2 linked regions of the Cricetulus griseus genome follow. The protein of the gene in region 2 interacts with the protein of the main gene of each other region in a pairwise test. Links are inferred from orthologs where the notes say so. Each region holds a gene or a part of one and is shown on either strand. Other genes may lie near its edges. The genes, in order: E2f6 and Tfdp1.

The links.
Region 1: the proteins of Tfdp1 (region 2) and E2f6 interact in binary tests that used the Homo sapiens proteins (3 or more experiments, as listed by UniProt). The link is inferred for Cricetulus griseus from reciprocal best matches to the Homo sapiens genes TFDP1 and E2F6.

The regions. Positions count from the first base shown.
Region 1 is NC_048600.1:26,018,550-26,033,510, reverse strand, and holds the start of E2f6 (transcription factor E2F6), read right to left. Parts: upstream 14,863-14,961; 5' UTR 14,838-14,862; coding exon of another isoform or gene 14,787-14,837; 5' UTR 14,599-14,786; coding exon 14,491-14,598; intron 13,624-14,490; exon of another isoform or gene 13,386-13,623; intron 9,057-13,385; coding exon 9,002-9,056; intron 7,032-9,001; exon of another isoform or gene 6,527-7,031; coding exon 6,310-6,526; exon of another isoform or gene 6,255-6,309; intron 5,325-6,254; coding exon 5,169-5,324; intron 3,543-5,168; coding exon 3,428-3,542; intron 1,051-3,427; coding exon 903-1,050; intron 213-902; coding exon 169-212; 3' UTR 1-168. UniProt on the Homo sapiens protein: Inhibitor of E2F-dependent transcription. Binds DNA cooperatively with DP proteins through the E2 recognition site, 5'-TTTC[CG]CGC-3'. Has a preference for the 5'-TTTCCCGC-3' E2F recognition site.
Region 2 is NW_023276807.1:67,444,689-67,460,163, forward strand, and holds the start of Tfdp1 (transcription factor Dp-1), read right to left. Parts: upstream 8,129-15,475; 5' UTR 8,001-8,128; intron 7,312-8,000; 5' UTR 7,249-7,311; coding exon 7,237-7,248; intron 1-7,236. UniProt on the Homo sapiens protein: Can stimulate E2F-dependent transcription.

The sequences.
Region 1 (14,961 bases), on a different chromosome or scaffold from region 2:
AGGGACCTAAGCAGGAAGCTACTCAGGGACACTACTGGCCTTCACGCTGCTACGAATCTAGAGTAAGAGAACGAGACCACGCCACGAAGACTTATTGCTGAGGATCAAACTGGTACATAATTCATCCACGCAGGAGGCTCCAAAAACCTTCACCACTTGGCATTGCTGTCAGTCGCTCACTTTGAGTGGCTCTGACTGAGGAGACTTGTCTTCTGAAACGAAACATACAAAGAAACTGAGTGAAGGCTGGAACAGCAGCCAGGTACAGGATTCAACAATTTCAAGAAACGAAGTCGTCTGGTCAAGAACCTTCTCTCGCACCAGTGGTCGGAATGATCTTTTTAGGCTCACAGAACAAATGAGAACTCCAATCCAGTGTTGGAAAGCACCTATCAGACAGCACTGACAGCTTCCTCTGGCCAGAGTGTACCAGCTGGTGCCCCAACACAATTGACTTTCATGCTCTTAGTCATAGAATTTTTGGAGGCAGGCTCTCACTGTGTAGCTGAGGCCGACCTGCAATATGGATCTATCTGCTTTAGCTTCCTCGGGCTGATGTTATAGGAGTACACTGACACACTCAGCTCAGAGGCTGGAGAGGGCTCAGCGGTGAAGAGCTCTACTGCTCGTCCCCAAAACCAGGGTTCCTTTCTAGCAACCATGCTTGCTGGCTCACAAGTGCCTGTAATTCCAGCTCCAGGGGATCCAATGCCTCTGAGGGCACCTATATTCATGTGCATGCACCCACACATGCACACACACACACTCACACACACACATACACACACGTGCACAATTAGAAATAAACACAAATCATAAAAAACCTTGAAGCTGTGTATTTAAGTTACATCTAAGATGCTGGAACCCTAATGCTCCTCGGATCACAAAATGGGCGTGTTTACCTTTCGAGGGGCATTCTGGGTGTCTGTTTTTAGATGGAGAGGCCCCTACCCCATCGGCTGTTTTACCACTTGAGTGGGTCTGTTCAACTTCACACAGATACACGTCAATGGGTCCTTTGGTACTTCGGATATGAACTGTGATAGAATCCTAGCAAGAGACACACAGACTGCCAACGTGAACATGCGCATCAATTAACTGCAGTTTTTCAATTAACTTAAATTCTTGTAGCTTCCTTTCTACCGTGCATTTGAGATAAACATGTTCTCAACTGTCACTGCACTCTAAACTACTGGCCAATTTACAGTGAAGACCTCTACTTAATCATTCCAGTAGCAACGGTCTTGGAGGTACAGAATGGACAGCTGAGGTCTTGGAAACCCCTCCCCCTTCTCCTCCTCTGGCAGCAGGGAGTTCTGGAGTACCCAACCGTATTCGTACACGGTGTTTCCAAACCAGTGTAGAGGTACTGAGGTCACAGGAAGGCTAGTTTTTTTGTCCAGTGAAAAGATGGAAGAGGAAAAGATGAGATCAAAACATGCCTCATGGAATTTGAAATGTCATACACAAAGAGAAACACTAGATTAAATGACTATTATCCTCTGGCTTCAGTTCTATTTACCCAGGAGCAAATTCCAATGGTTTTCCCATAAGAAATTAAAAATGTGGTTGCTTGTATTTAGAGACTAAATATGTAAGGGGCATTTGCAGTTATGGTTCCTTGTCTTTCCCATTGGGAACTGGCCCAGAGCTCCTCAAGTGCACCCTTTCCACATCCACATGGATAGGCCAGTCTAGATGTCACCGTCGCTCCAGCTCTTTTGCTCTCTGGGATCTCATCCAAACAAGCTGGCTGACAGCTTGTCAGACAGGTGAGATAGGCCAACCACCTTCATGCTCGGAGGCTGCAATGCCAGGGCAGGTTTAAATGGAAACCTTTTAACATCAAATAATTCAAGAAAACAATGTTGCTCCTGACTGGCAGTCAGCAGAAAAGACTTCAAACTCCACCAGCCACTAAGTCACTCTGTAAAGAGGAACCCTGAGGAACTAAGAGATGGCTCACAGGTTCAGGGTGTGCTCTCCTCCTGTGGAGGATCAGCATTCGGATGCTAGCACCTATGTCAGGGTGACCACAACCACCCGGAACTCCAGCTCCAGGGTCCAACGCCAGCCAAGGCCTCCAGGGGGCATTTGCACTGAGGTGCACATACCCATTCACATACACAGAAGTTTTCAAAAAAATTTTAAAAGGAGGACAGAGGAGATGGTACCTGTTTCTGACTTTTCAGGCCACGCTGTGCCACAACTACTTGACTCTGCCATGGTGGCATGAAAGCCAATGGGTGATATCTAAACAGATGGCCTTGCTCCAACAAAACAATTTACAAGAACAAGTAGGAAGCTAGAACGAGTTGAAGGCCACTATGCCAGCTCTGTACTAAGCACACAATCCCCACTAGAGCCACACATAGTCAGTCTACTGATCGAGGACACTGCTGAGAACAACCAGCCTGGAGGACCTCAATTGCAGAGCTCTGAATGGGACCGAGAGAGGCTCTGTGTGTGTTCAACAGTTCAGAGTGATTTAGCAATTCCGGGCAAGCAGCTCAGAGCACTGGGAGATCAAACCCTGCTAATTCCTGTAGGACGGATTACCATGCTCCAAAGAAAAGCTGTCCTGCAAGAATAGTGGCTAAAGAGTTTCAGAGTCTGCAGAATAACTAACTCATCCTAAATATGTTACTTGGACACTTGTCTAAATCCAAATCAAACTAGGGAATGTCACCAGGGTACAATCTGAACAGGATCGAGGGAAAAGTGGTGCTCCTTCATGACTGATGATACACTGTCAGGTGACAGGGTTTTATGTGAACTGCTGGGGACAAAAGAAAGGAAGGCAGTGGGAATAATCTTTGCCATCACGACAGTGATATGATGGCTGGTGATGAGCAGCATGGGAGCTACCCGGCTGGCTGTCAGAATGCCTAGAAGGGCCACCAGCTTTGCTTTGGACTCCATCCTCATCAAGGGACCTTCTGGTGACAATGACTCTCAACACAAACCTTCCTGGAGCAGTTGGCAGCAGATAGGAAGACTGGCCTTACACAGAGGTTCTATATCTGTGACTCGGTGGTCTAGCTCACTCTTAGTCTTTGGTGAGTTGGTAGCAAGCTAGCTCCCCGGAGCTCTGGCCATACCAGCTATTACTTTTGGAACTTGAAGACCAAGGCAAAGCCAATGAAGCAATTTCTTTTGTAGTCGGACAGCAGCAGCATGGCTGCAAGCCAAACTCTGCCCTATGCCTGGTCCTGCTGGTCACCGTGTGGGCTCCTGAAGCACACCTGCTTCTGTGTGCTTGGCTCTCTCCTCTCTGAGAAGGTTACAAGGACTGCCTCACTCATGGTTAAGCTAACAGGTACATAGCTTGGCAAGGGCATAGGACACAAGTGACTGCAGTGGTCACGGACTTGGCAGCTAACCCACGCCCCTCTTTAAATCCTTCCTGTAGTGAAGCACTACCTACTTCTCTGGGAGCTGGGACGTCCAGTCTGGTTTCCTCTGGAGCTTTCACAGCAATAACAATCTGCTCATGGAAGGCTTGGATGCTGTGGATATCCTGATAGGTTACGTATGCTAGTGTGAAACCTGGTCAAGGATCTGACAAAACTGACATGTCATCACCCCCAACCCTGCCCCTGGTTTTTTTTTTTTTTTTTGAGGCAAAGTCTCATTATGTAAGAGTGCTGGGAAAAAGGCTTATGCCACCAAGCCTGGCAAGATCACTATCTCTTACATGAATGCAGGTACAAGAATAGCTTAGCTTTTATGGGATACAAACCTATAATGAAGAGAAACAGAAAAAAAACCAAAACTTCAGGGTAATTATTACTTCAAAAAGAATTCTTAAGATTTTATGGTGTTTTATAATATTTGTAACAAAGAACTCTTTTAAACCAAATACTGACTGGAGCAATTTTTGGAGAAAGAGATTAATAAAGCCCCCAAAACTGAACATAAACACAACTCACAAAGATAACTATCTCCTGTCCTTGGAGTGGAGTGAGGTGGTGGGTGGATATCCCAAATCCCCAGTAGATGCCCAAAGTCATGGACCAATACCAAACCCTATGTATAGCACGTATTTCCCTACACATACACTTCTGAAGTGTGGTTGAATTTATACACTGGGCAAAGTAAGAAATCAATAATAATAAGGGAGTATAACTATAGCATATAGCATACTGAAAGTTATTACTTCTAGAATTTTCATGTGATATTTTTTAGATCATACCTGATTGTGGGCAACAGAAATTACAGAAAGCAAAACCACAAACAAGGGGAAAGCACTATGCTCAAATCCCCACCTATGCTATATTCAGTGTGAATTCTCATTCACTATTAAGAGTTTAGTGTTGGCTCTTACTATGGGAACCTGAGAAAAAAGCATTCACGATTTGGATAAAAATACTCCAGAAGGCAGGAAAAGAAAAAAAAAGTCCATAAAGCAGGAAGAACCCACAGAGGAAGCTTTCAGCGCGATCATGCACCTGTGATCTCCTTCTAAGCACATTTCTGTCACCGAACGCCTTTCAACTCTTTCTACGATGTTGCCAGATACTTTACATTCACTCGGTCCAGTTGCTCTGGCTTTCTTCCTTTTAGACTACAGACTCTCCGGTTAGCTGGCACAGCGAGCCTTGGCTTTGATTTTCTAAGCTCTGTCCTGTAGTAATAGGATTTGACTGCCATGGAGAGTGGAGGGAGCAGGAATTACTGACACTCACAGAGGGCACAGAAAACTGTAGACAGCAGAACAGTGGCGGGGGAGGGGAGGTACCAAGGACCAGGTTCTCCCAGTTCCTGCTCTACAGGCTTCCTGCATGGACTGATAAGCAAAGACACTACTGCAGTGGCTAGTTCACAAATTGGGGAAAGCCTGATTTCTACAAAAGCTGACAAACATTTTACCATTCAGGAAAGAGATTACAAAAAATAAAACACAAACAAACAAACAAAACACTCCTTAATTTTAACATGCAAGGGCAAACTGGGTATGTCACTGCCAACCATTGTCATGCAGACTTGACCCAGGAGCACAGAGAGGCTACAATTAACACGGATTGCTCTTGTGTGTTCGAGGCTACAGTACTTTTAAGGGCCTAATTTTATATCTAGGCATGAAACTTAATCGCCCAATCTCTCCCTAAGACATTATCTACTCTGGAAGCAGAAGTTCTTCTACACAGGTATGGGTGGAAGGATATCTTTCATTCTCTTTGTCGTCCGTTAACTCCAATAGCTGCTGGGCACAATCTTTAATCAACTCGTCCAAGGCGTCTTCCATCGCCGACAGGTCCGAGAGCTCGGCCTGCAGCTTCTTCTGTTGTGGTGCCGCTCCGAAGTTGTTCAGGTCGGATCCTCTGCAGATGAAAACAGACACGAGGTCAGCAGCTGCCAGGAGAGGAGCAAAGCTGTCTGTGGAGGGAGAGCAGGCTAAGTGGGAGCATCTGCATTTCCTTTTACACCATCTGTGTGGTTATGCCCGTCCTTTCTTTTCTTGGGACAGTTTCTCTAGGTAGCCTTGACTGGCTTTGAGCAAAGATAGCCACCTGCCTCTGCCTCCCGAGTGCTGGGATTAAGGTTCGGAATGACTGATACAGTACCCTGAAGGAGAACGTTCTCATCAGAGTTGCCTGTATTTTGTTCTAAAACAGTGTCCTTCAAGAAGCCCTTTCCTCTACCATTCATTTAGTCACTGATCATCTTTGGGTTTTACTACCTATTGTATTTCTCATTTACTCCCATGCTGGAATTCTTTTTCCTAAGTACACAGCTTTTTTTTTTTTTTTTTTTTTCCTGTGCATACACTCTCTGTCTGTGTCTTATCTTCAGGCTTTCTTTCTACGAGACCCTTCCCAATCATGTCAACTCTTTAGCAACTGCCTTTTGAGCATGAAGTGTGTTTTTACACTCAGGGTGGTGTGTCATCTCACCAGCACCGCAGTCATGCAGTAGACATGCTGACATCTGCTCTGCTCCAGAAAGAGTCAGGAGGGACTGGGTTCCTGGCTGAGTACTATATGGCCTCGTGGGAATCATGTCTTCCGTTATTAATTCACACTAAGGAAATACACTTAAAAATAATCCCCTTTTTAAAATCCCATGTTTCATTCTTATGATCTTATAGGGATAATTAATTAATTAATTAACCACCTTATTCCATTTAACTTTACACACCATCTGAATGTTTACACTTAGACCTCAGTAGTCCCATACATTTAAGTACACTGAGATAACAAGAAAACCTTATGGAATCTTTGCCTAAAAGACCTCATTTTCTATTCCCAAAGGCTGCTGCTGCTGGACAGACGTTAATGAAAAGGGTAAGGACAGACATAAACTCACATCCATCGAATGTGGTTCTTGGACTTCTTTTCCACCAGCTCGATGCCATCCAAAACGTTGGTGATGTCATACACGCGCCGTTTCCGAACTCCCAGTTTTGTGGCAACCTTGTTTAGATCGAGAATGCCCCCAGGGGCAGATCTGACAAGATCCATAAACTTTCGAGTTAAGTACACCAGCGACACATCAAAACGGGGCCTCTTCACTTTCAAAGCTTCTGCAAAGGAGAGCACAGTGCCACATGAGCCGACATTTCTTGGACAGCCGCTTATTCCCTAAGGATCGGAGCAGACAGCCATGGAAACCCCTGCTGGTTTCTATGGAAACATTTCTCTAACTGGATGAAAGGCAAATGGTCAGCTGGTCTGAGCAAAGGCATCAGGTTTCAATAAAGGCTGGTGAGTTTCCACTAATAACCATTTTTTACAAGTCCACATCCCTCCAAGAAATTTCTGTAACCATCGCTGAACTACTTCTCAGAAAGAGGATTAGAAATGATTTTGAAATCAGATGCCTTCATTTCACACATAATCTGCCAACACACATCTGGACGTCAATATCTAGTTTTTGTTCATTCTTCTTTGGTGTGTTAAGGAATGAGCCTGGCTTCACAGAGGCCAGGCAAGCACCTTACCACTGAGCAACATCCTTCACTCAGATGTATAGTTTTTTCTGTTAATTTTAAAAAATATTTACTTATTAAAAATATCTACTATATCTTATGTACTTACTCTCTGCTCATATGTATAGTTTTAATATTAAAAATATTTACTTATTGGGGCTGGAGGGATGGCTCAGAGGTTAAGAGCACTGGCTGCTCTTCCAGAGGTCCTGAGTTCAATTCCCAGCAACCGCATGATGGCTCACAACCATCTGTTATGAGATATGGTGCCCTCTTCTGGTGTGCAGATATACATGGAAGCAGAATGTTGTATACATAACAAATAAATAAAGTCTTTAAAAAATATTTATCTTATGTGTATGAGTGCTTTGCCTGCATGTGTGTGTACCAAGTGTGTGTCTATTGCCCACTAAGATCAGAAAAGGGCATGGGATCCCCTGGAACTGGAGTTGCAGTGGTTGTGAGCCACTGTGTAGGTGTTGGGGTCCTCTGGAAGAGCAATACGCTCTTTTAACTACTAAGCCATCTCTCCAGGCACTTAAACGTATAGCTTTTAAAAGCAAAATAGGAAAATAGCATTCTGCAATATGCTCTTTCAATATCGTGATCATGATGTATGAACAAATTTATTTCATTCATTATTCCTTTTTGTTGTTTTTTAAGACAGGGTTTCTCTGTGTAGCCCTGGCTGTCTTGAAACTTGCTCTGTAGACCAGGCTGGCCTCGAACTCAGAGATCTGCCTTTGCCTCCTGAGTGTTGGGATCAAAGGTGTGCACACTGTGTCCAGGTGTGCTACATTACTCTAAATGGCTGCATATTTAAGTGCATGGAGAAGTGCTGAGCTATCCCAGGGCTTGGGAACATGATATCGGATGATGCTCACAAGACATGCCAGACTTCATTATTCTCATTTTATACTCACTCACTGGCTAGACATTTATTGGGTACATTTTGTCCTATTAGTGTAAGCTGAGCACATTCCCAGGATGTCAGCCACTTTATAAAGAACAAAACTAATTGAACATCTCTAACAAGGGCTGCTGTGGGGACAGCTCCCCAAGCAAGAGCACTGCATGGGCCTGATAAGGAGCTCTGCCATAAACAGTGGTATGTTGAATGGTATTCAAAGTCACTGGAGAACATGGTGTGCCATCTTTACTGGAGTGAAGAACTGGGGATACTCCTACAGGAGGATGCTGGGAGCAGCACAGAAAGATGAAGCCTAGTGCTCCCCACTCCAAGGAGGGACAAAGCAGCATCTGAGAACTAGGCACACACCAGGCTAGAGGGTAAGAGGCATGAGAGCCCTGACTGGGCTTGGGAGAGCCAGACTGGCAGCTGGAGACAGCAGTCCACTCAGACAGGATGAAGCTATATGTATGGTACCAGACGCCAACTTTGGGTGGGCTGCTTAACCTTTCTGGGTCTCAGCCTACTCATGCATGATGGATGACAATCCACGGCTGTATTTTGAAGCTTGGTCACTCATGCAGAGATGTCATTGTCAGCTAGTGTGGGACAGTTGAAAGAAACACCTCAAGAGTCAAGCTGACCTAACTTGCTGACCGGCCACAGGGGAGATGGTGGCAGATGCTGAAGGAAACAAAAGACGGTTTGTAGGATCTACATCTCGGCATCTGTAAATGAAAGGAGTGCCCGTGATAAGAACCAAATCAAGAGGAAGTCAATGAAGGGGACATCGATCACAAAGATCATCCGATACCCTAAACATGAATTGGTGACAGAGTAAAACCAGGAAGAGTGAAGGGGCCACAGAGAACCATGTGGACACAAGCCTATGGTGACATGTACAGTACTGCCACTGCACTGTGGGAGGGGTAAAGATGCCACTCCTCCCACCTACCTTAATTTCAACCACCAGGGTACCCTTCACTGTCACTTTAGTTCTGTTTTGTGACCTTATGAACCCTCAAAAACAACCATGTTGCCAGGCTACAGAGAAAAACCCTATCTCAAAAAACAAAATAAAAAACCAACCAGACAAACTAACCATGTTGACTGTGTGACATTCAAACTATAAACCCAAACCTACTTAGGAGTCAACTTACTTCTCATGGACACATACTGCACATTTTCTTCTAGATTGATCCTTATTTTTGATGGCTGGAAAAAAGAAAACATAAACTTAGCATTTTACAAACAGCAATGCAAATGAATTAATTTTGTTCTATGATACAATTATCCATCCCCCCCACCCCCATCCCCAGACAGAGTTTCTCTGTGTAACAGCCCTGGTTGCCCCAGATCTTGCTTTGTAGACCAGGCTGGCCTCAAACTCAGAGATCCGCCTGCCTCTGCCTCCTGAGTGCTGGGATTAAAGGCGTGCGCCACCATGCCTGGCCATGATACAGTTTTGTTTTGTTTTGTTTTAAGGCCTTTTTTCCACCTGAAGTCATGAGGGCAAGAAAAAAGGAGTCTTTCAAACTGCATCTGGGAGGGGTAAAGATGCCACTCCTCTCACCTACCTCAATTTCAACCACCAGGGTACCCTTCGCTGTCTCTTTAGTTCTATTCTGTGACCTTATGAACCCTCAAAAACAACCATGTTGCCAGGCTACAGAGAGAAACCCTATCTCTAAGGACCCACCCAGACTAGGCCTCTCAGGCTGCACATATTTCAGTGTGAATAAAGGAAGGATGGTGGAAGACAGGACACTTAAGTGGGAAACAATTCCTGACAGCAGCAGGCGCTGGGGAGAAGATGGTAAAGACAGATGGTTAGGACCTAAAAGGCTCAGACAGGTGGACTCTGTGATACACCAGCCAAGGCTCACCCCCCTAGCCCCACCATTTAAGTGGCCCCCAAAATATGCTGTCAGCCCCATTAATGAACAATCAGAAGCCTTTAAAAAATAACAAGCAGTACAAGTTATGAATACAGAGATAAAAATATAGTTAATTCCGAAAACAACCAGGCAAACCGGTGGCGGTCCTAGTGTCAGTCTCCCCTTTCTGCCAGGTACTCGGAGACTACTGAAGCTTCATAAACTGGAACGATGATCTGCAATACATTGAGGACTTGTTTTTGCTCCCTGCCTGAGGACATGCTATGGCCATGTGGGAGTGGCCCAGTTTTGTAGCTGGAAAGATGACCAACCTCATCAAGACCATGCTGAAGTCTTGTTTTAACCAGCAGAGACCCACCAAAGACTTCTGGACAAGACCACAACACAATCTTGCTCATGGTCTAGAACTGTGGCACAGATGGGACAACAAGCTGGCTAAAGGGTCAGGGGTGGGACAGCCAGAGGCCAGGTGGGCAACAGAGAAGCAGCTCATATCAGAGTTATAGAGCCTCTGCAGATGATTCTTGTCACCTCTGACAAGATGACAACATCTGGTAGCAGGTTAACTTGAGATGACATCATGCCACAAAACCAGTTTAGGACAGTCTAGGATTGAAATGGGCAGGTGGCCTGTTGGGTGTGCAACCCCAAAGTTGGACACTTCTCCCATGGGTGGGGACCAGCTCTCAACACTGCTGGCAGTGGCATCCAACATCAGAACTCTGAAGCAGGCCCTGTGAAAGCCGACCACAGATGAGTGTGACCAACTGTCACTGCTATTTTTACACGTGACTGTTCTCCAAACACAGGATGAGACAGGGGCTGGCTACTGGAACAAGGGATCTGTTTTCCTCTTACATTTATGTATCTTGTGTGTGGATGTGTCAGGCTGTACATGTGGAGGTCAGAGGATAACTTTGTGGAGTTAGTCAGTTCTCTCCTTCCACCATATGGTTCTCTGGGCTTGAATTTGTGCTGTCAAGCTTGGCAGGAAGTGCCATAACCTTGGCAGGAAGTGCTATCTTGCTGGCCTGCAAGGCTTTTGGAGAAAGGGTCCCACATAGCCCAGGCTAGCCTCAAAACTCAACCTGTCCCTAAAGATGGCTTTGAATTTGTGATTCTCCTGCCTTCATCTCTTGAGTGCTAGGACTGCTGATCTGTACCCCAATGCCTGTTTATTTGGTCCTGGGGCTTGAACTGGGGTTCCATACATGCTAAGTAAACAGTTTGCTAACTGAGCCTCGAATCCCAGCCTCCTCACACTGATATACTGATGTGAAAAGCGTATCAACAAGTATGCAGAAGTGTTAATAGCACTCATCACTGCCTGCTGCAGAAGGTTCCTTTCCTAACCTAGACTGGTGGGGCCAAGCTCTGCACAGACAGCTTCCCTATTGGCTGCCCATTTGCTTTAGAGGGGAGGCAGTTCTGCCTCCACAGGTTGGTACAGGGACAGCACTGCAATGAGACATAAGGAAGGATGTCCTCCCCCTACCCGAACTCTGCCTGCAGTGACAAAGGAAACAGGTCCCAATCCCATCATTTGTTTTCTTCCTGTGCATGAAATTCCTCCTTTTTCTGAAACAGTTTCTTGCTATCATGCCCTGGCTATACTAGAACTCCCTATGTAACTCAGGCTGCTTTTAAACATGCCATCCCCCTGCTTCAGCCTCCTGAAGGGCTAGAAGCACATGAGTGTGCTGCTCACCATGCCTGGCTAACACTCCGTGGAGCTACCGACCCATTTTGCTGCTACACGAACCGAGGGCAGATACCCCTCCCCTCCCCAAGTGAATACTTCTAGAGACTTCAGGGCTTCCAAAGAACACTCAGCAGTGATGAGTGAGTTACACACTGACATGTTCTAAGCTGCTTCCCTGCTGCTCCATCCCCACGTTTAGAAGCCCCCGTGTCTACATCTGGGAGCACACAGGGCAACATTACCATCCCCTGGCCCCATTCCCTTTATATCTACAGCTTTTATGTGGTTTTGGAATCTACTCGGTTTGGAGGGTTGGGGTAAGGACAGGACAGGATCTCAGTGTACAGCCCTGTCTGGCCTGGAACTTGTTATGTAGCCCAGGTAGGCCTTTAATTTACCATCCTTCGGCCTCTGCCTCCCAAGGACTGGCATTACAGAGCAGGGCCACCACGCCTGGCTGTAAGTTTTAAAGGTGGGGGAGAAAAGTGACATGTAGAAACTCATGTCCTAGGCCCTGTCTCCAAAATGGTTAATTGTCTCTATGCAGGGTTTCTCTGTACCAGCTCCCTGCGTGGGAGCAATACTCCTTCAGGAGCTCAGAGAACATAGATCTCTCCAAGGTGACTGTGTTCACGTCACCCATCCAGATCTTCCTTATCTTCTAACACACAAAACAACTTCACCTCCACCCAGTGTTATTTTCTCCCTGTTCCAAAGCCCAGACCAGGCTTAAGCCATTTATCCTGGCAACTAACACCCAGCAAGACATGTAACTGCTCTGCACAATGGCTTATTAAATTCTGGCAGTTTTTAAAGTCAATTTAAAATGACTGACATGTTAAGTCACTATTTTATAGGCAAGAAAATACAGAGTCCCCACTCTATTAACTTGTTTAACCTTTTTTGTGCATGGCCACATCTTCACGATAGCATGAAATGGACAGAAATACACAAGCCTTGCAGAGGATGGAACAGTGAGGACAGAATGCTCTGGGGCACATAGAAGGTGACTAACAGAACAGACTAGAGGCCAAGGAAGGGCTAAAGACACTTAAAGACAAGTTACCCATGAATCTAGATTTCAGATACCCCCATGACAATATGGAAATGTATGCAAGGGTGTCAGCTTGAGAAGATGAGGCTGAGGATGGAGCACAGAACCACAGAAGAATAATTTAAGAAGACAAATCTCTGTGAGGCCAGCCTGGTCTGCAGAGCGAGTTCCAGGACAGCTAGGGCTGTTACACAGAGAAACCCTGTCTTGAAAAATCAAAAAGAAAAGAAAAACCTGGAGCTAGATTATATTAGGAGGGTTCTACCCTGTCCTGGGAGTACTAGGGAACAGAAAAGGATTCCTTTGGTGGAATGAGATCAGAAACACACTTTCAAGAGAGACCATCCCTTATAGGTGAAATACACACCAACAGTAAGGGGCAGCAACAGTGGCAGGAAACCGGCCAAGGTGGCACTGTAGCACTGAATAGTAGCTGATTAGTAGCTAATTAGTTCAGAGACTGGGGCGGGGGGGGGGGGGTGGGATTCTGGAAAAGATAAAAGGCACCACAGATGGCCAGTGTGCTGGCTTGGGCAGTAGGGTAGGTGGGGTGTGAGAAAGAGGTCATTTTCCTAGGCAAGGGGGACCATGAATAAAGCTGGCTTTCGATGTAAGAATCTGATGTCTGGAGACACAGCTCAGCAGTTAAAAAGTGCTTGCTGCTCTTCCAGAGGCCTGAGTTCAGTTCCCACCATCCACATGCCAGCTCATAACCACTTGTTAACTCCATTCAGCCCCACATGATCTAAACCTTCTCCTGGCCTCTGTGTGCACCAAGACACACTGACATCCACACAGACATAATTTTTTTCTTAAGTTTTAGATCTAAGTAGGGACATCTAACATACAGTTGGAAAGCTCTGAGAAAGATGTGTGGATTGCGGAGTTACCTTGAGGTGGTTGAAATCACCAGACTGGATAAGAATATCTAAGACTTCAGAGGATATATCTTCTGATGCATTTCGAAAAGTTAAGTCGTTGGTATGTGTGTGCCTGTATTTGCTTTTTTCCAGTGTGAGCAGTTAGAGTATCTCTATAAAATTCTCAAGAAACCACCATGGTGACAGGTCACAAGTCGTGAGTAGTGAGTGAGTGATCACCTACAAGAACAGAGTGGCACCCACGTGTCTGAAAAGGAAAGAGAAGGGGGCAAGGGGCCCCATCGTGGCTGTCAAAAACACAACAGAGTAAGTGGGTAGTTGTTACACAAGGTGTGAAACCGACACTAGAATGGATAAAATCGACAGAGCTCTTATTTAAAACGTTACAGAATGCTTAAGACCCAACTCCCCAGCACAGTGCAAGATGAAGTAGACACTGAGCAGAAACCACTTTTTTAAAACAAGGGAAAGAAATTAGGGAAAGGCTGTCACTTGCAGTCATTCCTAGATTCCTCCAGATCTCTCATTACCTAGCCCCAGGCCAGTCACACAACTTCTGAGTCTGTTCTGACAACAAACTCTAAGAATAACAATCTCAAGGTTAGTGTGAGGAGTCAGACAACAATCATGAACTATCTGGCACGGGACTGGCTGGCCTTGGAGAGAAAACAGTGATCAGGAGGAACGGACAAAGAATGGATCCAGCAGGGGCCCTGAGAACGGTGGGAAGCCCAGAATGGAGGGAACTGTCGCTCTTTCATTTTTCCTGTCAAACCGCACAGATGGGCGGGCGAGATCGCTCAGTTGGTGAAGGTACTTGCCGCCAAGCTTTACAAACTCAATCCTAGTTCCACCCGGCGAACCACAAAGGTGGAAGCAAGGAACAGACTTCCTCAAGTTGCCTTCTCATCTCTACACGCGCCTCGCGGAATCCACGCGCCCGCCCTCCCGCAAAGTAAATTGCAATGGAAATAATGCAAGAAGCACAGGGCGGTTCGAGGATGGGGAGCTACAAGGAGAGACCCGGGTCACCCAAGCGACAGGGTGCAGAGGGCCCGGCGCAAAGAGCGCGCCTCGCGTCAAGTGACCCCCGTGGGTCCTGGCCCGCGCTCACCAGTAGGCTTTCCACGTTGATGGGGTCCCGGCAGCGGCGGCGAACCGTCTCCTGCGCCGGGTCCACCAGCAGGCTGGGCAGTCTCCGCGCCGGCCGCTGCTGACTCATGCTGCCCCGCGCCCCTCGCGCCCCACGCGCCCTCCCGCCTTCCCGGGCGGCTCGGCACGCGCGTCCCGGCTCCGCGTCCCCTCCGGCGCCGCCCCCGGCCGCCCGCTCCACCCACGGAGCGCCGCGGCTCCACCCACGGATCGCCGCGGTCCCACTTTTCCAGCGATGCGCTCAGGCGCGGAGGGTACCGGGGTGACCGCGGAGGAACTCAGGATCCCGGGCCGGCCATCTTCCCGCATGCGCAGTGCTCCGGCCCTTGCACATGCGCATCGTCCTCCGTGGAGCTCTCCCGCGCCCTCGGTTCCTCGCCTGCTGCTAGCTGGCGGCCCGGTATCCCGGAGGATGGATCCTCGGAGGGGATGG
Region 2 (15,475 bases):
GACAGGCAGATAGATAAGCCATAGAATTTGCTACAGCCTCAAATTCAACCAATTTCCTGTAGGCACCTAACTCCTATCCAAAGACACCAAATGATACTTCATTACGCAACAGACCCAAATACACAACTACCTGGGAGAGCTGCCAGGTAGCTAACTGTCCAGGTTTGATATGTCCCATTTCCTGGTGTCACAGGGCAGCTTTGGAAAGGGAAAATGAAGCACTACCAATGGTGGATGGCTAGGACACAGAAGGCAATTACCACAGGAATAGCATGAGCAGGTGGGGTTTCACAGATCAGGAAGCGGCTGTCCCACAGCATAGGACTTCACTTTCTTGCCCAACTACAAGAGCTGCCTCGGTCCCTGCCACTCTCCAAAAGCAAGCTTGTACTGCATTCTGAAGCACCAACCTAGAGATGCAGAACTCAAGAGCTCAGTCCTACACCTGCAGGCTGCAACTGTGCACAGAAGAATACACCAAGTACCACAAACAGAGGGTTCAACCAAGCATCAGCACTCAGGCCATCTCTGCGATGTTGAGGCAAATGTCTCTTCTAGGCCACACAAGTGACTGAAGTAAGAATAGCAAGATTGCTGAAACATCTTTTAAAGCAATAATCATCTTCAATAACTGACTGGCCCAAAAACATACCAGACCAGAGAGATAGGTGTGACTTTGAAGCTGACCCCAAACCTAGCCATGAAGACATGCAGAGGCTAAAGAGTAACTCCCAGTTTCTCCCTTTTCATCATCTTCCATGCACAATAAGGTAACTTTAATTCAAATCCTAGGGGCTGAGAGAGCTGTTCAGAGATACAGCACATTCCCAGGGTGTATGAGACCCTGGTTTCAACACCCAACACCAATAAATTAATAAACAAACAAACAAATAAGCCCTGACAGCAAAAACTGCACCCCCCCCAACACTGGGAGTTGAACCTAGGGCCTGCCTCAAAACTGATTTTTCTTAAAAGGCAAAACAGAGTCTACAAATAAGACCTCCAAGGACTCAGAAGTGATGCAGCACACTGGTTTGACAGGTCACCACCCTACATCATATGCAACCACTAGAATGAACCTAGGCCTTAGAAAACTGTTTTAAGATTTATTTTGTGCCAGCCTGGTATACATATCAAGTTCCAAGACAGGCAGAACTGGGAAGGAAGGAGGAAGGAAGGAAGGAAGGGAAGGAAGGAGGGAGGAAGGGAGGGAGGGAGGGAGGGAGGGAGGGTTTATTTATTTTTATGTGTATAAGTATTTTGCCTGCACATATAAGTGCACCATATACATGCCTGGTGCCTCTGGGGGTCAGAAGAGGGTGTCAGATCCCTGGAAGTGGAGTTACATATGGCTATGAGCCACCATGTGGTTGCTGAGAATCAAACCTGGGACCTCTGCAAAAGCAGCAAGTAGTCTTAACCACAAAGCCATCTTTCCAGCTCCAGCCTCAGAAAATCTTAATGGTCATACCAAAGAACAACAACTATAGTCAGGCATCATGACAAAGGCCTATAATCCCAGTACTCAGAAGACTGAAATAGAAGGACTGTGAGTGAGTTCAAGGCCAGAAAGACTGCAGAATGAATTCAAGGACTGGAAGGGCAACTTACCTCATATTAAAAAAAAAAAAAAAAGAGGGCTGACAATATAGCTTAGTGACATAATCTAGCATAATGAAAATACTAGATTCAACCTCCAGTGCTGTAAAAATGAAACAACAACAACAACAACAAAAAAAACCCAACAGTATTTGATGTTAAAATTCAAGGTATGGGCTCGCAAGATGGCCCAGTGGGTAAAGGTACCTGTCTCTGAGCCTGAGTTCAATACCTAGGACCCACATGGTTGGACTGAGAACAGATACCAAAAAAAGGAAAAAAAAATGAGGAAAATACTAACCTCTAAATTCTTTTTGTTTTTTGAAATAAGAGTCTCTCTATGTAGCCCTAGTTGATCTAGAACTCTATATGGAGAAAAGGCTGGCCTTGAACTCAGAGATCTGCCTGCCTATGTTTCCAGGTGCTAGAATTAAAGATATATGCCACCATGCCCAGCTCATTCCTAATTTTTTTCTTTTATAAATTACTTAACTTTATTTTATGTGCATTTAGTATGGTGTCAGATCCCCTAGAACCAGAGTTACAGTTTTAAACTGTCATTTGGGTGCTCGAATTTAAACCTGGGTGCTCTTAACCACTGAGCCAGCTCTCTAACCCCCTACAATTTTTTTGACAAGATACAATTTATTATTTATATTATATAAGGCTAAACAATTTTGCAACTTTCAAATATTGCTGCTGAAGTCTATTCTGGAGAGTGAAAGTTAAAATAAGTGCTTTCCAACAGCCTGATGACATCCACAGTGGTCACCTGGCATCCATCGTCTTTCCAGAACAAATCTGACAACTCAGAGACACTACATGTACAGGTGTGCACAAACATCACAATCACCCTCCAAGGATTCATCCTCATGGTCACAATGGATTTGTAACCATTTAAGACTGATCCTGAGCCGGGCATTGGTGGCGCATGCCTTTAATCCCAGCACTCTGGAGACAGAGGCAGGCGGATCTCTGTGAGTTCGAGACCAGTCTGGTCCACAAGAGCTAGTTCCAGGACAGCCTCCAAAGCCACAGAGAAACCCTGTCTTGAAAAACCAAAAAAAAAAAAAAAAAGACTGATCCTGGAAACCACAGAACCCCCAGCAATCTATATGTTCATGGCAAAAGGGCCAGGGGCTCTTCCACCTCCAGATTCCAGCCTCCCTCTTCCCAGAATGCTAATGCCAACAGGCCCTCCTGAACAACCTTTACACGCCAGACTTGAGCAGCTAAAACCTGGCCCTATACACCAACACCATCTCTCTTTGCTATGAAGAGATCACTTGAAATCTAGGAGACTGCCATGTCCAAGTGTCTTTCTGTTTTCCATCCAGCCATAAAATCAGAATTGGATATCCTGGGGACAATGCATGCAGAAAACTGAAGCAAGTGGACTCCTCTCATAAAGCAGGTTTCAATCTGTAGATAAAGGCTATGGCAGCTACCACTGAACTACATTGTAGTTTTTTCCCATATTAACTTACCTCTTCAGTAGCAACTGTCTACAACTCTACAACATGTCAAACCACCACTAAAAAGACAGAAAGGATAGGTTGGAAACAAGGCTACAATAATGAAATTTGTCTGCAGGATACCAGGGATGGCTCATCGTCACTGTTAGGTTGACTAGATTTGGAATGCTGTAGGAGTACAACTCTGGGTGTCTGTTTTCAGCAAGGTTTCACTTGAGGCCGCACCCTGAATGTAAGCGGCACCATGCGGACTGGGGCCTCACACTGACTAAAAGGAATAAGGCAAGTAGCTGGCAACTGCGTACATCTTTCTGCATTCTGACCACGGACACAACATGGCCAGCTTAGCACCTCCAGCACACCTTCACCAGCATGACGGTTCCTTCAAACTATAGGCCAAATAAACCTTTGCTTAAGTTGCTTTTGTCACAATAATGAGAAAAGTAACTAATACGGAAAACTGGTATTGAGGAATAGGCCATTGCTGTTGTATAGGCCTGTTGTATAGAGAATGCCTGGAATGCTATAAGCAAAAATTACTAGTCCATTCTGGTGAGCATTTGAAAAGACCAGAATGTCAGTGGAAATGTGGACACTGAAGGCTAGGCTCATGAAGTTTCAGAGAGGAACCAGGATTCTATTGGGAACTGGGCTAGAGACCACTTGTGTTACCTTCTAGCAAACAATCTGGCCATGCCCTTAAAATCAGAGTGAAGCCAAACATAAAAGTAATGGATTAAGTTGTCTGGTAGAGGAAATTTCAAGACAGCATGGCATCCAGGCTGTGGCACAGTCAGCACGTAAGAAAAGCATCCTTAGGGCAAGACTCACTCCTAGAAAGGTCTAACTGGTAAAAAAACAAACAAACAAACAAACAAAAAAACGCCAACTCCAGATGGCAAGATGGCTCAGCAGGTAAAAGCAAGTCTGGCAACCAGAGTTCAGTCCCCCAGAACCCACATGAAGAGGCAAAGAGAAATAATTCTACAAAGTTATATGTATCTATACATACATACATACATGCACAAATATACACTCTCCCACAAATAATAGTGTTTTGTTTTTTTAAGAAAATGAAAACTTATTTCAAAGAAAAAGCTTGAACTGAGAATGCCATCAAATGAAAACAACCACTTAGAGAAGTATTTTCCCAAGACATAGAAGGTCACTGCAGCCATAGTAGAAGGGGCCATCTATCTCAAGCTGGTAGCAGAACTTGGCACTGTCCTCGGGATGGTTTATAGGCATGCAAAATATAAGTGAGGGCAGGGCTGAAGTCCTTGCAAATAGTCTGAGAGGCCACTGAATGACGCTGGAAAGGGAAAGCCTAAGTTGCAACGGAGACCTCAAGACACAAGATACATCGGGACCAGACCAAGGAACATCTGCCAAGGAAAGTTGCAAGCACAAAATGCAGCAGGCCCAAGAAAGAGCCTCAAGTGCTACCGGCAGTGTTACTAAAGGGGCAAAGCGACCCAAGCCTGTCACAGCCCAGAGGATTCCATCACAATCCCAAGATAGCATACATGGAGTTGCATGGTTTGGTATTTGTCCTACTGAATTTTGGTCCTGCACTGGTCCAGTCTTCACTATTGGAGGGTGCAGTAAATACGTGGAGATCAGAGGACAAATTATGGGAGTCAGTTCTCTTCTACCATGTAGGTCCCAGGGAGCAAACTCGAGTAGTCAGGTCTGACAAGCCGGCCATCTCAACAGCCTGGGATTTAGAGTTTTGAACAATGTTAGAAATGTCAAGATTGTAGAGGCTCATGCCAATGAAGTATAAAAGCTTCTTGCCTTAGGAGATGAACCTCTAAGGATAGAATGTTAAGATTTAAAATGATGTGTTTGGTGTGGGGTTGACAAGGGATAGACCTGTGATTGTTAATCCTCATTGTCAATATGACCAAATTCATAGTCATCTGGGAAATGCTCCTCTGGGCACATCTATGAGGTGGAAACTTTCTGAAGATTGGCAAGTCCAAAAATGCAGTCTTCCCAGTAAGACAGCACAACTCCTCAGGCAGTGAGTATTAGCCTGACCTTGGGAGAAGACATTCATGTTCTAAGACATACCCCCTCATACCAGGCTCTCCAGCCCCTACAGCAGGGTCATCATGGTTCATTCAATACACATGCCTTCCACAGGGACAATTTGCAGTGTTACAGGAAAGCACTGCAAGCAGGCATCTCCAAGTACCTGCAGGCACTCACCCCCACTTCCACCATCACTCCTCACTCTCCTGCCCACTCCCACGCCTTCCCACATCAGCTTTCTTGTCCTGCATGGGAGAAATCCTTTGCCAGGTCAACATAATCGGCTCCTGTCATCCCATCCTGTTCACTGGTAACTGCCAGCCCTGTGCCACAGCCTGCAGTTCACAGGGAACCCTCACCTGCCCATCTGCCTGGGCATCTGCTGGGGCAGAAAGCCCCTTAGCTATTTGTTGTCTTCTCTCTACCCTTCCTGGTCCTCTTCCATGACCCAGAGCTTGACTTTAGCCCCTCTGCTCTCACAGGTGTCCAGCTATACTTTACAGCTAGATTTCATCCCCAGTATCAAGTGCTTAGAAAACTCAGTGGTGCCTACTTCCTCTCCTTCAGCACAGACTACAATGTCCCTCTCTGAAACACAAGTATCGTATCCTATATAAAGACATGGTTGGCTACAGGAACGGCCCAACCCTTGACTGTCTGCAGTCTCTGATTCCCCTCTGACTGGGGAAGACGCTTGTGGCGTGTGAATATGTGTGGTGATGAGAGTCAGCTCCAGCACCCTGTTACTCAGTCACTGCACCAGCCCAGCCACACCACAATGGATAACCCCAAACCAGCTGGCCTCAGACTCTCATTGTGATGGGAGATCCTGACCACCTGTCCTCACAGTGCACCACCCCTTTCCCCAGGGACACAGCACATGGAAAGGGAGTGAATGATGCAAAACTAAAATGACAAAACTCTGAGCATGCTGGCTCACTGAAAATGCAATAATATCGTGCCAGTACCATGACCTAACAAAGGCATGGGGGCCAGTATCCCATTTACAAACCATTTACCAAATCTAGTTACTTTGTGGGCATGTGCTGAGCCCACACATACATGTTAGGGCATACATATGGAGAAGAGTGGGGACATGGGTGTAGATAAACAACTGGACCTAACAAGATCAAGCCAGTATCATATATGGTTGTGACTTCAGGTGACCTATACAAGATCTCCTAGGGTGTGACACAACTCCAAAGAGCAGGCCCAAGCCAAGTGCTTGATGACAGGGAGAGTGGCACCGTCTGACCCATGTGGATCATTAAGCATAGCTGAGTCCTCAAGTCAGTGGACAGGACACAGCACCCACCGGTACCTGGCCCCACACCATAGACGCAGCCACACTACACCTGAGCACAACTCTAGATGATGTAGCGCGTCTGCCTGCATTTCCCAGGCTGCACAGAAAATACAGGAATCTAACATTCACAGGGCAGTGAATGCTGAGGAACACTGAAAAGGAGATCATTAGTGCTGGAAGGAGTTAGGATGATATTGCAAAAATATATGTAACCAACAACAGAGACTATATCTTGCAGCCTAAAAGCCTAACTCTCCATATCTGTTTCAAAAAAAAAAATTATTCAAAATATCCAGTAGCTTCAAGATAAATATAAAGCTAAACCAACCAGCATTTCCACCGTGTTTCATTAATCACCAGATGTCATCTTTCTGAGAAAAATGTGCCCAAACAAGTTGTTGATATTCAATCCATCAAAGTTGAATTACGGTCCTGCGTACTACATAAAACAAGTACAGCCTAAGTTCCATGTTGACAGCTGTCCTGAGTGGAAACCCACTAACACACAACACCCCCCTCACACATTCATTTTAATTGAGAGGTGTATTCAATTTTTTTTTTAATTTAAACTGTCTAGATAGGTTAAGGGAAAAATCAAGACCACATCATCCAACCACAAATAACGTGTCAGTCTTCAGATGACAAAGAACACTTGTGCAGGGGGGAGGCACCCACCTACTGACTCTCCATCCCTCACCTCCATCCCAGCTCCTGCGTGTAAAATGTGAGGATAAACCACGGCCATGCACGCACGGCCATAGAGAAAACTGCAAGGAGCAGTGAGCTAACATGTCTGCAGCACGAAGCAATCATACTTACATCTTTTGCCATGTTACCAGATCCAGGAAATCAAGGCTGTAACTGCGTACCCGCCACAGAAAAAACCGGACTTATCTGGCAAAAAGGAAGGAGACAATTAATGAGAGAGAATGAAAAAAGAAGTTTAACAGACATCGCATTTCAAAGGAAACATCTCCCCACCAGCACGAGGCAGGCCTCCAGGCAGCAGGGGCCTTTCTTGCACAATCCCGACAGGAGAGCTAGCCAAGCAGGTCCCACACGGGGATTTTAAGTCACCTCTCCAAATGGAAGTGCTCCCTGCGGCCACCAGCAGCTCCCACTCGCAGAGGGTCCAGACCCCAACCCCTTGGCAGAGTAAGGCGCAGCCGTCAGGCTCACCCCACCTGGGCGCGCGGGCCCCGTCTGACCACAGGCCCCACCGAGGCACAAGGCCCCCAGCTTAGGCACGACACTGCGTGGCAAACCCCGGGCCGCAGCAGGCCCTCGAGCTGCCAAGACCCCAAGGAGCCGCCGACCACTCTGACAGGTGGGCTCCCGGCCCGCCGCCCGCCCCACCTGTCACTAGGCCCGGCCACCAAGCCCCGCGCGCTGGCGCGGAGAAAGCCGGAGGGTGGCCAGGACCCCTGCCCGCCGCCCACGCCACGCCGCGTCGAGGCCGACTCCGGGCTGAGGCTGGGTGGCGGGCGGGATGCAGCCGGACGCGGGAACCGGGCTGGGGCGGGAACGGGGCCGCGCGCCCAGCCCGCGCCCTCCCGCTCGGCCGGCCAGCGCCCCCGCCACACCTGGCTGGCCGGCGGGGCGCGCGGGGCGACGACGGGGGCGCGGGGGCGCCGGCCCGGAGGTCCGGCCCTGGCGGTCCCTGCCCTGAGCCAGCGGCGCCGGACGCGGGCTCACCCTGGGCCGAGCGTCGGGCCGGCGTGACGTGCGCGCGGCGCGGTGACGTGGGCGGCGGCGGGCCCGCTCCGCGCAGCGCGCCTGCGCGCCTTTTCGCGCCTTCGGCGCCCTCCTCCTCCTCCTCCTCCTCCTCCTCCCGCCGCTCATCTCCCGCGCCTCTCGCCGGTGCTACCCGCCCTGGGATAGGGGAGGGGCCTGTGCGCGCGTGCGCGTGCGGCGGGACTCGGCTGGAGACCGCCCGCACTGAAAAGTGCTGCGCGCGCCTGCATGTGCGCATGGAGGCCACGTGTGTGCGCGCCTCTGTGTGTACACCAAGGGCCAACTGAATGCATATCTGTGTGCATGCGCAGGGAATAGAGGGCCACGTGTTTGCCTGTGTGTGTGTCTGTGTGTGTGTGTGTGTGTGTGTGTGTGTGTGTGTGTGTGTGTGATACCTGCCAACGGAGAAAGATCTGTGGTGTGTGCCATACCTGCAGGTACACATAGAAGAGTAACGTGGGCACACCTGTGTATATGCAGATAGTATAGCTGTATACACGTGCATATGCAGAGTATGAGTCGGGCGTGCACGCCTGAACATGTATACAGAAAACCCCCTGTACATACAACTATGTATATTTGTGTTTAATGTCTGCACAGAATACAGGTATGTGTGTACGAATAGAGGGGCCAGCTATGTGCGCATGAGGAAAAAGAGGTCAGTTGTAGGAGTGCCTTAACGTACCTGTATGTGCACCCCCAGCAGAGGAGTTTTGTACATTTACACAGGCCATAGTGAAGACTGTTGGGATGCACACACGTATTGGACACTGCAGAGACATAGAGAGCCTGCCACTATTCAGCTATTGACGTCCACAGCCACATGGCCTGAACTTGGGTTGTCAGTGATTCAGGGCAGGAAGCATCCTGAAAGGGTGTTTGCTCCTGTCATTTCAGAGTCTGTAGGCTTCATCCCAGGAGGGGTCTGGTAGACCCTGAGGCCTGAAGACAGTCCACATTGGAGACCTCTACCTTAGGACTAAAGCTGGAGAGCCTGGGAAGAGAATAGGCTAGGCCTCCCAAATCAGTCCAAATGGTTTGGGTAAAGTGACCCAGCTTTGCCCAACAATATATGGCTCAAGAGTAGAGTGCTGTTAAATGCTATCAGAGAACTGTGGATGTGAGTGACGGGATGTTTAGTGTAAGCACCCTTTACATGGTTGTCTTTCCTTTAAATAAGCTAAGATGTTGAGGGACAGGCCAATTTGACTCCCAGATTGACACATCCTTCTCTGTTGCCTAGCTGCCTTGGCCATAGGACTCAGCCAAACAGCCCTTCCTTCTTTAGCATCTGACTGGACCATCCTGGCCGCTATCCTGTTCTGAGCACTCCTTAGATGCCATGAGGAAGCTATACTGCAACCACAGCTGCTTATGCTAAAGCAAAACCATGATTCCAGAAGGCAATATTCAAGGTATGGTTATTTCAATAACTTGCATCAGACTCCTTCCATCACAAGCCTTGGTAAACCCTAGTGACCATTTTCAACCAGGACACGGGTTGGGGGATGTGGGGGAATATTTCCTCTAGTGGCCCAGGGAAGGACTGTGACTGGTGCCAACATCCTTGCCACGCCTCATTCCTGACTATATAAACAAGCTATTTGGCTCACTTTTTCAGTGGGTTGGGTAAGTCCTTTGTCCAATAAAGACGTCTCTGGAGTGATCATGCACGTTTTTTTTTTTTTATTTTTATAAGCTAGACTGGTAATATGATGACATAAGCCATAAGCACCAATGGAGCACTAGTAGCCACCAGGGGGACTCTGAAGAGTTCCGGAGAGTGAGTGGGGCAAGAACAACAGCATACTCAGGAGACAGAGACAAGAGCCAGGACTGACAAAGGTGATGACGAGGCAGAGAGGAGAAACAGAGTACCAGACACTGGAAGAGGGGTAATGGTCTTACTCTAGGGTTGAAAACTGCAACAGGAGTCACTTAGGTGCTGAGGTTCCCAGCACCCATGCAAAGTTACAGCACTAGCAGACACTGGCCATTGCTGTCGATGGAAGCTAAGGATTCCAGGAGCTGCCAGTGTTGTGGCTGCTGGTGGTTAAATTCCAGAATATTTAACCTCCAACTTCAGTATTTGGAGCCGTAAACCTCTGGCTTCTGAAGCATGGAGTGATAGGCCCCTGGTTTTCAGGAGACAGTTGTAAGCCTCTGGATCTGCCAGTCCATCCCATAAACATTGGGCATGTAAGGGCCAGGATTACTAGAGCTGGAGAATCGTCTCCTTGCCCAATCATGTGATCTGGGTAAAGCAGAATGACCCCAGCCAGCTGATTAGTAATAGAGAGGTCAGAGCTGTACCAAGTGCTGGGCTAATTAACATCTATGAAGAGTCTTGAGGAGCACAGACCAAAGGCCTCCCCCAGTCATATGCAACATGTCATTACTGGACACCCCTATTTCGCATGGCTTTACAATTAACCACCTTTATGCTGACTACACCTGCTCCTACCACTTCAGCTAAGCCCCACCTTCTTAAGCTGTCAAGCATTTAATTAACATTGGTTCTGCGTGCCAGAATTGAAATCATGCATGGAGGCCTTCAAATGGCCAGGAGTCCTCCAATTCTGGCTCCCCTCCCCTCTTTTCCCCTCCCCCAGGTAACAGGAAAACAAAAGAAAACCACCATCCTGGTCTCTAAGATGGGAAGTGGCACCTGCCTCTTGTGTATATTTAACAAGGGCAAGTTTCTTAACTACATGGAGTGACTTCACATGACAACAGCCATTAACTCAATTCACTGGAGGATACAGACAGAACTCAAAGTGTTCTCGGGAAGCCATATTGACAGGATGCAGAAACCAGGCTGAACAGAGGAACCAGAGAATGCACAAAATGTGTGGTCTGGGGGGAAGGGTCAAGATGGATTGATTTCTGCTTTTAATCTGTGATAAACAGACCTGTTTCTTGGGTGATGAGTAAGCAAGACACACTACAATAAATGGACTTCAAAGAAGACACACTCTCCAATATGTACCTGAGTTACCATTGTCTTCACTGTGACAAAGACACCAGAGAGAACTAACTTAAGCAAGGAGAGGTGTACTTTGGCGCTTGGTTTCAGAAGTTTCAGTTTTCGGCCATTTGGTCCCAAACACATGTACAGAATATCATGATGGGAAGAAGAATGTAGCCGAGGAGAGCTGTTCTTCACCACTGGGAGGCAAAGAGCAAAATGGGATTTTTGTGTAGCATTTCCACCAGTGGGGAAGATCCCTAATGTTCTGAAGGAAGGGTCCTTATGACTCAGGAAGTAGGGGCTGGAGAGATGGCCCCAAAGTTAAAAAGCACTTGCTGTGCTTGTAGAGGACATGGCAGCTTATAACCATCTGTAATTCTAGGTCCAGGAGATCTGGCACCCTCTATTGGCCTCTAGGCACCAGACATACATATGGTGCACATACATACATGCAGGCAAAACACCCATGCATATACAAAAAAAAAATGAATCTTAAAAAAAAGTCAGGAAGTAAACAATTGAAGAGCTTCAGGAAGTCCCTGAAACCAAACACACTAGGTTTTTCCCTCCCCAAGCTTATGTAAGCAGAAAGGAGTGATGAGAGACAACCCCAACAATCTGGAAGAGACTAACCAACCGAGCTACAGAAAAATACACATTTCAACTGTTGAGATGCCTGCAAATTGTGCGATAAGCTCTGGGTTTCCAGTTTTCAAGAGTTGTCTCTGAGGTGGTCTTTGATGATGTAGCTGTCTTTGGGTCATGCGGGGATGTCTGCAGTCTTCACGGGTAACAGAGAGATGAGCCACAGGAGGCTAGGAGACAGTTCAGCTTGACACAACTCAGTGGCCGAGTCTGAATCTGAGTTGTTTAGTTCGGGCATATTTAAACACAGCACAATTCAGTGAAAATTTTTCTTGTGATGATTAACTCAATTCCATGTGCAAAACAAAGCATGTCTAAATCTCTTTGAGAAACAAAACAAGCTAAATACAGAGAAGTGACTACAATGAACTCTTTGCAAGGCACATGTGACACCTTACCTAAAAAAGATAGTATCTATATATTGACTATATGTGATACATTCCGTAAAGATGAGTTCCATGGATTGACTAAGAAAAACCAGTTTACAAGAAGGGTCTGGAGGAGGGCGTGGTGCCAGAAAGTCTTCCGCCATTCTGATTGCGCAAAGGTCACCAGGCTAGAAATCATGTCCACTCTAGCCTTCTGGGTATAAAACAGGTTTTGCATTCCTTCCCCAAAAGGAACAACCCTTTTTGTTTAACATTCCAGGTCCCCCTGTGCATGTCTGTGAGCACAAAAGCCTCCATGCCCCCTACGAGGTCATTTATGCTCCTGTAATAATGACCATTTGAAATTTATCCTGGATATACAAAGGTAGCCCTGTCATTGACAAAGGAAGGAATAAACAAAATACTACATATGCACACATAAACTATATTCAGCCATATAAAGTAACAGGATTCTGACATATGCTACCATATGGGTGGAACTTGAAGACATTATACTGTAAAATAAGCCAGATACAAAAGAATAAATTTGTGAGTTACTAGCATAGGTAAAGTCAGAATAAGTACTGGCTCTGTTGGTAGCAAGAAATGTATAGTCCCTCCCTGTAATTGCAGAGTTTCTGTTTGCAATGATATCAGTGTTTTAGGAACAGATGATAGTAATGTGTACGAAACATTGTAAATTAACACTAGTAAATTGTACACTTAACATGATAAACTTCCACTGGGTGTGATAGTGCATACCTTTGGTCTCAGCACCTGACAGGCAGAGGCAGACAGGTCTCTGTGAGTTTGTGAGTTCCAGGACAGCCAGGGCTATGTAGAGACACCTTGTCTCAAAAAAAAAAAAAAAAGATAAGCTTTATATGTGGATTTGTATCAAAGTTTTTAAAAAAGGAAAACCCAGTATACACATAAGTGAATTTAATTATTATAACAATTATTTAATTAAATACATTTCAATGCACCCCTTTTAAAGCTATAAAGAATGAATTGTTAGGTATAACAATGGTATTTTCATAGGGTAACTTAGAAGAGAGTGGTTATGAAATTAGGCACAGTGTTATGATCTGACAATTTATCTTCCAATGTTCGATAAAATATGATAATAATTGCTTAAATGTGGATACATGATTCAGGCAGTGGTGGCACAGGCCTTTAATCCCAGCACTTGGGAAGCAGAAACAGGCAGATTTCTATCAGTTCAAGGCCAGTCTGGTCTACAAAGAAAGATCCAGGACAGCCAGTGCTACACAGAGAAACCCTGTCTCTCAAAAAACAAAAACAGAAAATGTGAAAAATGTGGGTATTTTATGCTTCAACCTCTTCTTTACAGCATAAATCGGAAGTCCTAAACAGTGCAATAAGACTAGAAAAAGGGGTGGGCAATATGGCTTAGTGGGTAAAAATGTTGCCTGAACAAGCCTGACTCCAAGAGTTCAATCCCCAGAACTCCAAAAGCCTGATGCAGGGACTTGTGTCTGTAATCCCAGCAGTCCCATAGAGAGACAGGGTAGAGACAGGAAAATCACCCAGAAGTTCACAGGCCAGCTTGCCTCGGTAGAAAGAGTGAGAGCAACAGAAGCAACCAGGGAGACCCTGTCCTAACACGGTGGAAGGAGGGAACAGACCCTGAAAGTTGTCCTCTGACCTGCACATAAGAACCCTGGCAGGCCACACTGTCACTCTCACATGGCCATCATACAACCACGCCAACACCGTGGGGGATAGACTACACCTACACCAGCACCAACACCGTGGGGGATAGACTACACCCACGCCAGCACCATCACTGTAGGGGATAGACTACACCACATCAACACTGTGGGGGATAGACTACACCCACGCCGGCACCAACACTGTGGGGATAGACTACACCCACACCGGCACCAGCACCGTGGGGGATAGACTACACCCACACCAGCACCAACACCGTGGGGGATAGACTACACCCACACCAGCACCAACACTGTGGGGGATAGACTACACTCATGCCAGCACCATGGGGGGATAGACTACACCCATGCCGGCCCCAGCACCGTGGGGGATAGACTACACCCATGCCGGCCCCAGCACCGTGGGGGATAGACTACACCCACGCCGACCCCAGCACCGTGGGGGATAGACTACACCCACGCCGGCAAGAACACTGTGGGGGATAGACTACCAAAAACATTTTAAAAGGTAAGACAAAAAAATTGAAAGGCATAAATATTGGATAGGAAGACATATTTATTCTCAGAAGATAACTGTATGTGTGGGAAGTCAAGAAATCTTTTACAGTTAATCAGTTAATAAAGCAGTTTCTGTTATACAAGATCCATTCAGGGAGCCAAAGCATAACTGAGGGGTGGAGCACTTGCCAAGCATACATGAGCTCCTGGGTTCCCAGTCTTCTGTAGCAAATAAATATAAAATAGCTTATATTTCTATAGAACAATAATCTTTTGGAAATATATTTTAAATATAGTTTATAATAACACGAGAGAAATCTAAAATTAACTCAGATATGTAAAATTCCATGGATTACAAAAAAATGTAAAACATTGATTTAAAATGGATTGATGGATTTGGAGACTCTATGTTGTTAAGTTGGCCATCATCTTTAAACTGTCCTATAGGTTCTATGATATCTCAATAAAGTCTCAGCATGTTTTGCTGAAACTTGGCTATCTGGTTTTGTTTTTGGTTTTTTTTTTGTTTTTTTTTTTTTTAATGTGCTAGGTGTGATCCTATATACCTTTGATCCAAGGTAGGGGAGAGTGAGGTGGGAAAAGTGTGAATTTTGGCATCGTTGACCTCCTTCTCAAAAGAATATGCCTTGTTTGTTTGCTTTTCTAATGGCAGTGCTGGTGATTGGCTCTGGGACCCTGAACATGCTAAGCACACTGCTAAGCTATACCCCCAAACTCACTTCATTGTTTTTTATTAGAGCGTCAGTTTCAGAACATCTTTCCTATGGCCATCCACCCACAGAAATAGTGTCTTCCCAGTAGGTAGCCTCAAAATGGTACATTTGTCACAATCAGTACCTACATTGATCTGTAATTATCACCAGAGTTCACAGTTTATAACAAGTTCTACTCTTTTTATTTCTCCCCGCCTCTGAGACAGTGTGTCAGTATGCTGCCCTGGCACTGGCGGTGTAGACCAGGCTGTCCTCAAAGTCACAGGTATCTCCCTCCTCTGCTTTGAGAGTGCTGGGATTAAAGATGTGCACCATCAATCCAGCAGGTTCTAATCTTGCTATTATATTCTCTGAGGTTTGGACAAACACACACTGGCATGGAACCACTTCTGCCATATTTCATAGTTTCAGTAA